2 linked regions of the Lonchura striata genome follow. The main gene of each other region encodes a partner of the protein of the gene in region 2 in a complex. Links are inferred from orthologs where the notes say so. Each region holds a gene or a part of one and is shown on either strand. Other genes may lie near its edges.

Evidence for each region.
Region 1: MYBBP1A (region 2) and DEK share a complex: the UniProt entries of both Homo sapiens proteins name them as parts of the B-WICH complex. The link is inferred for Lonchura striata from reciprocal best matches to the Homo sapiens genes MYBBP1A and DEK.

Annotation. Positions count from the first base shown.
Region 1 is NC_134603.1:88,785,006-88,788,915, reverse strand, and holds the start of DEK (protein DEK), read right to left. Parts: upstream 3,139-3,910; 5' UTR 2,910-3,138; intron 1,232-2,909; 5' UTR 1,221-1,231; coding exon 1,088-1,220; intron 1-1,087. UniProt on the Homo sapiens protein: Involved in chromatin organization.
Region 2 is NC_134622.1:4,151,756-4,155,665, forward strand, and holds the start of MYBBP1A (myb-binding protein 1A), read left to right. Parts: upstream 1-1,228; 5' UTR 1,229-1,244; coding exon 1,245-1,433; intron 1,434-1,602; coding exon 1,603-1,698; intron 1,699-2,544; coding exon 2,545-2,628; intron 2,629-3,025; coding exon 3,026-3,100; intron 3,101-3,519; coding exon 3,520-3,627; intron 3,628-3,910. UniProt on the Homo sapiens protein: May activate or repress transcription via interactions with sequence specific DNA-binding proteins. Repression may be mediated at least in part by histone deacetylase activity (HDAC activity).

The sequences.
Region 1 (3,910 bases), on a different chromosome or scaffold from region 2:
GTGCTACACATCCCAGGGAACTTCACAGACAAGCACTCTGCAAGGCACAATAACGAGTATCACGAATACAACAATATTATTACTAGTAATTCTGGTACTGCTTACTAATGAATACATTAAGATTGTTTTACATACACCCTGCACATCACTCATTTAATGATACCATTCTAAAGAAAAAACTAAAGCTTCACCTAAATATTTCATACTAAAATACTTGACCTCAAGTAACACTATCCTTAGAGCTAAACAGATGGGCTGTCCTGGCTTTAGTGAATTGTATGAACACTATCAAAACCAGAGCAAAAATAATTTTTTCCCTGAAAATCCAATGCTAATCACTCTGCTGTTTTCCAAACGGCATAATCCATCTTCTTTCTACTACCTTTCCTAAAGATCCAAGAGCATCAGTGACTTGGTTTTCACTATGTCACATTACAACTCTATTTCCATGAATGCTTTGCTTTTGAAAACACATGCCAGGAGACATCTCAATAGAAATTAACATTTTTGCTTAGTAGTTCCTTCATCTTGTTTTGTTCTCCTTTACTACCTTCAATTACATGCCACGACAAGAAACTTGCCTTGCTTGCTCACCCTATCACATTGCCACAATTTTTTATTACCAAAATTAGTCTAAAGGAATTTCCGCTAACTCAATACAATTACATTTGGATAGCCAGAAAATTAATTCACTGTAGTTAAGACAAGACATTCATATTGCTTCCAAAACTACTGCACACTTAAGATTTCCTTTTGCAAACACAGATCACTTCAGAGTGTTACTAGCAAAAACTAATTTGATAAGGGACACTACCTCCTATAATCCTTGAAAAATTTATACATCAACAAAAAAAATCCCTAGTACACAAGTCCAGGATGCTGGCAATTCCTTAAATATTTTCTGAGATTAATCAACACCACTGTTTTTAGCATTGCCTGTTATAGGCTACTGGGAAGCTATTATGACCCATGAGACAGATGCATGATGAAATCCCCTCAATAATTGTACAATTAGCCAAAATCACAAGAGACTGCATTCAGTAGCTTGGCATCCATTAAAGAACAACTTAGTCAATGAGAAAAGTACCCTTTTCTTCTTCCTCCTCTTCCTCTTCTTCATCTTCATCACTTTCCTCAGCTTTGTTTTCAGTTTCAGGTTGTTTCTCATCTGTTTTTTCTGATGACATTGTATCTTCTTTTGATGAATCAACAGAAGACATGGTGTATGCTCCTGTAGAAAGAGTCAGGGGAAACTATCATCAGTAGAACAACATCCATAAAAACCACGGGAATCTTGCTTTCAAAAATTATCTCTTTGTGCAGCAGAAGCAGCGTGCTGGTACTGTGATTGTTCACATTCTCTGATCACTAAGGTGTTTGGCATACACACAATACATACAACTTTTCAGAAGAAGTTGCCATCCATCCTGCAATTAGTCTGGTTAAGAACACTCTAAGAGGTTATAAATTCTATTCACACACAAGTCTCCAAGCTGCTTTTGTGAAGCATTCGGGAACACCCACTCAAAGCAGCCGAAACCGTTATCTATTAAAAACTGCAGTGTTTTAAGATATCACTGTTTTACTGCACCCTGCTATAAACTTAATACTTGATCATGGTTAACTATGCATACAAGTTTCCTAGTAACTTAAACAAATTACTTATTTAGACTGGAAATGGGAAAAGAAACATTTTTTAAAAAGCTGCAAGCAATTCAGGAAAGAATTAACACAGCTTTCATAACCTAGACAGCTGCTGCATCTTTAGGCATGAAAATACTTCCCGTTTTAATTTGCAAATCTACAACAAAAAAGAATAAATGCTTCATACTTAGCATGTATAAGAGTCTTTTCTTAATATCTGAAGTGGCCTATATGTAAGCTTTAAACTAAAATATCTTAGTTATACACGTACCATTTTCTACTAACAGAAAACACCTATCCAATAGAGTAAGATAACCATATGTTTCATTTTTAAATTCTAGCTTTCAAAAATTTTCACCTTTTAAATCTGGAACAGAATTTCACACAATTAACAATTTTCTTTTTGCAATATTAAAACAAATATTATCTGCAAGTAATCAGGTACTATAAGTAACACTTAAATCTGCTGCTTATGTGCAGCATTAGTAGGTGCCAGAGATCAGTCGTGTTCCAAATGACAGAAAGCATGAGGTAATATTTATTACAAATAATACGGGGAAAAGTAAAGTTTCCTGGCTAAATCACCAGTGAAAAATACACCCTCCAGGGTATTACTACCAACATTTTCATTTGTAGTAAGTAATCTAGCATTTTCACGGCAATTACTGACTTTTTGAAGGCACGAGTAAAAGCAAGAGAAGCACTACAAGTTGTCTTTCTTTACCCTTTCAGTGTGAACAGAGGGGGGGAAAATAAAGTTAGAGACTTCTTAGCTTTCCACCACCTGGGCTCGGGACGACATTTTGCTTAGGGAAAAAGGGTTCTGGGATCCACCCTTACCGGGAGAGGGTCTCCCGCCCTCGGCTGGGGCTTTTCACGCGGGGACTTTCCACCTATGCCCCCTTCCCGATTTGTAAGCTGGATGCTGGGGCAATCGGAGGGCGATGCGCAGCGCCCGGTGGCGCCGGCGGCCAAGGCGCCATCGGCTCCCCGCTGCAGCCGGGCCAGGACCGCTCGCAGCCCTCCCTCGGCTCCCGCCGCAGGACACGGCCGCACCCGGGAACCGCCTCGGGCACGGGCCGGGAGGGACGCAGCCCCGGTGACAAGCGCCCCGCACACGGCGCGTCCCCGGGGGCGGGACGGGAGCTCGGCGGCACGGCGGCCGCGTTTCATTTCTGCCCGTCACAGTCCGTCCCCGCTCGGCCCGGGCGCGGCGAGGCGGGACCGCTCTCGGGCGCCGTTACGGCCATGGCGGCAGGACCCACCTCAGCACGAGCCCCGGCTCCCTCCTCAGGCGTGGCGGCGGCAGCAGCTGAAGGCGGCAATTACTGCTGGACGAGGCGGGTCCGGGCGCAGCCACACACACGCGCCCCGCCGCGGCGCAGCCCTACAGCCAGCGGCCGCTCTTGCCCTTTCCCTCTCCTTCTCCCTCTTCCCTCCCTCCCGGAATCAACAAGGTTTTCAAAATGGCGGGTTCTCGGGCGGCGAGGAGGAAGCGGGAAGGCGGCAGCCAATCAGCGCCCGCGGCCCCGCCGGCGCGGGGAGGGCGGGGGAGGGTGCGCGTCACGCCCGCCCGCCCGCAATGACGCCAGGCCGCTGAGGGAGCGGGCCGCGGGTGTGAGCGGCGCGACGTTGCGTTTTCCCTTTTAACACTGGCGCTGTCTTTAATTGAGGTGGCTTAGAGAAAAAAAAAAAAAAAGCTTTAAAATAAGGAATCCGCACCACTTATCCTGCCTAAATTGGGCAGCGATTAATATATGCTCCCCAGACTTTCGTTTTGTACACTGTAGTGTTTCCCAGTACCTCTGGCACAGGTTGCCCGGAGAAGCTGTGGATGCCCCATCCCTGGAAGCGTTTAAGACCAGGTTGGATGGGGCTCTCAGCAACCTGGGCTAGTGGAAGATGTCCCTATCCGCAGCAGGTAGGCTGGGACTAGATGATCTCTAAGGTCCCTTTCAACCCAATCCGTTCTGGGTTCTTAAGTATTTAGTAGTGTTCGTCTTACACATATATCCTACTTTTACTACTAGTTCTACGTAACTACGCTTCACACGCGCCTGCGATGAACCATTCACAGGAGCGTGGCATCCTTCCCACTTCCTCTGTATTGCTCCAGCGCGGCTCCTCCCCGCGGGGCTGGAGCGAAGCGCCCGTTCCCTGCCGCGGTCCCGTGCGGGGGGTCCCTGCCGCGGTCCCGTGCGGGGGATCCCTGCAGCGGTCCCGTGCGGGGGGTCCCTGCCCGCGGTCCCGTGCGGGGGGTCCCTGC
Region 2 (3,910 bases):
TATGTCAAGATTATCTTAAGTAGTAATGTTCTTAATGTAAGATCTTGGCATACTTTCAGCAAAAACCCGTGGAGAAGGCAGCAGCTAGCATCCCTTACTCAAGGACATCCTGGAACGAATGAGCATTAAGGATGTAGTAAATTCAGATTTTGGTGTACATCTGCGTATACTTTGCTAACTTAGCAGAAGGCTCCAGGACCATGTATCCCATAGCTGATCTATGTTCGTTATAATTCTAAGGACCCTGTGAAAACCCCCTCAGCTTGTGAGGAATGTCTACAAGTTAGCTGAGGTTATGCAACTTGTAAATTACTAATCAATCCCCATATATATGGGGAGTACTTGGAAAGTTAGTAACTCTGAACTGAGTATAAAAAATAGTGTGAAAAGCCCGGTGGGGTGTGCTGGATTTGTGGAGCACAACCGAGCACCGCAGCTCACGCAACACTGAAATACCAATCTCTGAAAAAAAATACCAAACTCTGAAAAATCAATGTGTCCGTTGAGTGTATCATGGCTGGCTTGTAGCACACCGGGAAAGCAATCCAATTTTGTGGGATGAGGGGTTGAGGGAGCGGGGTGGGAAAGGTGGCCATGAGGGGAGTGGGGTGTGAGGGGACACGGGAGGGGCCAAGAAGAACTGAGGGGAGCAGAGCTGAAGGGCTGGGAGGTGCTGAGGGGAAACAGGGCTGAAGGATCCTGGGGAGCTGAGGGGAATGGGGCTGAAGGACCATGAGGTGCTGAGAGGAATGGGGCTGAAGGACCATGAGGAGCTGAGGGGAGCGGGGCTGAAGGACCATGAGGTGCTGAGGGGAGCGGGGCTGAAGGATCATGAGGCGCTGAGGGGGAACAGGGCTGAAGGATCATGAGGCGCTGAGGGGGAACAGGGCTGAAGGATCATGAGGCGCTGAGGGGAGCGGGGCTGAAGGATCCTGAGGCGCTGAGGGGGAACGGGGCTGAAGGATCATGAGGCGCTGAGGGGAGCGGGGCTGAAGGATCCTGAGGCGCTGAGGGGGAACGGGGCTGAAGGATCATGAGGCGCTGAGGGGAGCGGGGCTGAAGGGCCCGGAGGCGCTGAGGGGAGCGGGGCTGAAGGACCGGGAGGCGCTGAGGCGCGACCATGCGGGGAGCGGTACTGAGGTACCGCGGGGACTGAGGCGAGCAGCTCTCCCGGCGGCCGAGCCCGTCCCGCTGCCCCGGAAGAGGCGGAGCGGGCGGGCGGCCCCACGTGCGGCGGCGGCGGCATGGCGGGGATGGAGCCGATGGAGCCGCTGGAGCCGCGGGGCGGCGGCGCGGCCGTGACCGACCCCCGCGGGGTGCTGCGGCAGGGCCGCGCCTTCCTCGACTTCTTCTGGGACATCGCTAAGCCGGAGCAGGAGGTGCGGCTGGCGGCCACTGAGAACCTCCTGCGGCACCTGCGGGAGGGCAAGAAGGTGAGGCGGGCGCCGGAGGGGCGGTGGGTGCGGGCGGGCAGTGGCTCGTCCCTCCGCTCCCGCTTGGGAACGCGGCAGTGCGGACGGGGCACGGGCCGGGCGCGGCGGTCTGGCGGCCGGGCCGCGCTCGGAGCAGCCCGGACACGGCCCAGCTCTGTCTCTCTTGCAGGATGATGAACTCAAGTACACCCTGAAGCGGCTGGTGGAGGGACTGGGAGCCACCCGCGAGGCCGCCCGCCCTGGCTTCAGCTTGGCCTTGGCGCAGGTCAGTGTGTCCAAGCGCGGGTCGGAACCGTCGGCAGCCTCTGTCCATGCTTGGGGTCACTTTTGCTGTCTGTGCAAGGCTGGAGCCCTTCTGGCTGCTCCTGTGTGCACATGGGAGGGAAGGCTCTCACAATAACCGTAGTTTTAAATGGTGCTACTCTGCTTTAGAAACTTATAAAGTTATGAACTATACCAATATCTATAGTTATGAACTGTAGTTATAGTAATGAATTATGCCAATACATTCATACTACATAGTTCTGCTTCAAGGACTGTCCTTGATTTACAAATTTTGACCAAGTTTTCAGTTATTCTGTGTTTAGCACTATTACTACTTCTTGAAACTGTCTTGCTCTTGGTTGGTTGATGTGGATATCTGCCCTTTCTCTAGACCAGGTTGCTCCAAGTCCCATCCAGCCTCGCACTGAACATTTCCAGGGATGGGGCAGCCACAGCTTCTCTGGGCAACCTGTGCCAGAGCCTCACTGCCCTCACAGGGAGTGATTTCTTCCTAACATTGAACCTAAATTGGCATTTTGTCAATGTGAAGTCATTCCTCCTTTTCCTGAGACTCTGGGACTCCAGAGTCCCTTTGCAGCTCTCTTGGAGCCTATTTAGGCCCTGGGAGAAGCTCTAAAATCCTCCCTGGAGCCTTCTCCAAGCTGCACAAGCCCAACTCTCCCAGCCTACTTCCTGTTCTTTACTGATCTGGTTGTCTTCATTCTGGCCTGATAAAGCAGCACATCTGCTGCTGTGCTGTACACCTCTTCAGCTCTATTTTAGCTTAACCCAAGGTAATGTCATGAAGTAGAAGAACTGCAAACGGCTATTCCATCTCTCTCCTCAGGTTTTGCAGGCTTTTGAGGAAATTCCACTGTGCAGCATTTTGGAACAGATAAAAGAAAAACACAATCTGGAAACAGTGAAAAAAGTAAGTCAGCTCATGGCAACATTTGCCAACTGATACTTTAAATGAATTGTTCTCTATTCTTTGACGTCTTGGTGTATAGTGTAGCTTTGGGGTTCGTGTTAAAGCAAGCAATACAATAAAATAACAAATATTTCTAAAAATTGCAAGTTGATGACATTGTAATCTGGCCCTGTTTTAGGTGAGATTTTTCAGTGTGATGAAGAGGTACTGTAGGACAGTTCTTAAACATTATGTAGCAGGTTGCTTTTCAGTATGTTCTCTTCCCATGGTGAGGTGTTCAAGGCTGGGTTTTCCTGCCATCTTGCTCCACTGATTGTGTAGTTGTGTAGCTGCATGTGAGCTTTAGTCTCTCAGGAAAGTAGATTTTTACTATTTTCTTTTTTTTTTTTCCCTTCAGAAACTTGTGAGAAATGCTGCTTTTGGGAACTTTTTTGGAGTGATGGCTCTATTCCAGTCTGGGCGGCTTGTGAAGGTAACACTACTGTCAGGTGTGCCAATTCTGCTTCTGGGGCTTCTGATATGGAAAGAAGATTGACAGAGAAGGGCTGGGTCACTGGGTAATCGATGCAGTGGCACTTGAAGCATCAAGTTCTGTTTATTTCTATTGTGTCATCCATGGACTCTTTGTGCCTTTTTAATGTCTGTTCCTGGGCAGAATGTAGGAACTGTGTCAAATAGTGCAGGAGGCTCCTACCTCTCCTGGAAGGAAAGGATCTGTTGTCATATCCATCTGGAAAACACAGTTTTGGAAAAAGCTGAGTGACCAATCAAGAAACAATTGTGTTTCTTATTACAAGTAGGCATAAACATCTAAAGAGTAGATTATTACCTTAGCCTTCAGATTAATTGCTGATATATGTCCTCTGGTTTTGGCTTATCTTTCCTTTGTAGGACCGGAAAGCTCTGCTGGAGAGCATCCAGCTTCTCCAGCAGCTGACAAATCACCAGACACACCTCAGAGATCTCCCACGCAAAACTCTCATTGACATCACCTCTGAGGTACGGGCACAGCATGTGGCCTTGGGGCTTGGTGGGGCAGGAGGAAGAGAGGGCTTGGCTTTGGGGCCAGATCTTCCTTTAGTTTGTTCATAGCTGGAAATTACAGGGGGTGTGGAACAGTGAGAGTAAACTGTGGGAGCTGTCCCTGTATGGCTGTGGGCAGATGCTTGTGCTCTGGTTTAGCTTAGTTTGACTTCACCATGGACAATCCCACAACCTGTTGTTTCCCATTTTACTTGCTTGGATTATATGTTAGACCATGTGCTCCTTTGAACAGATGTAT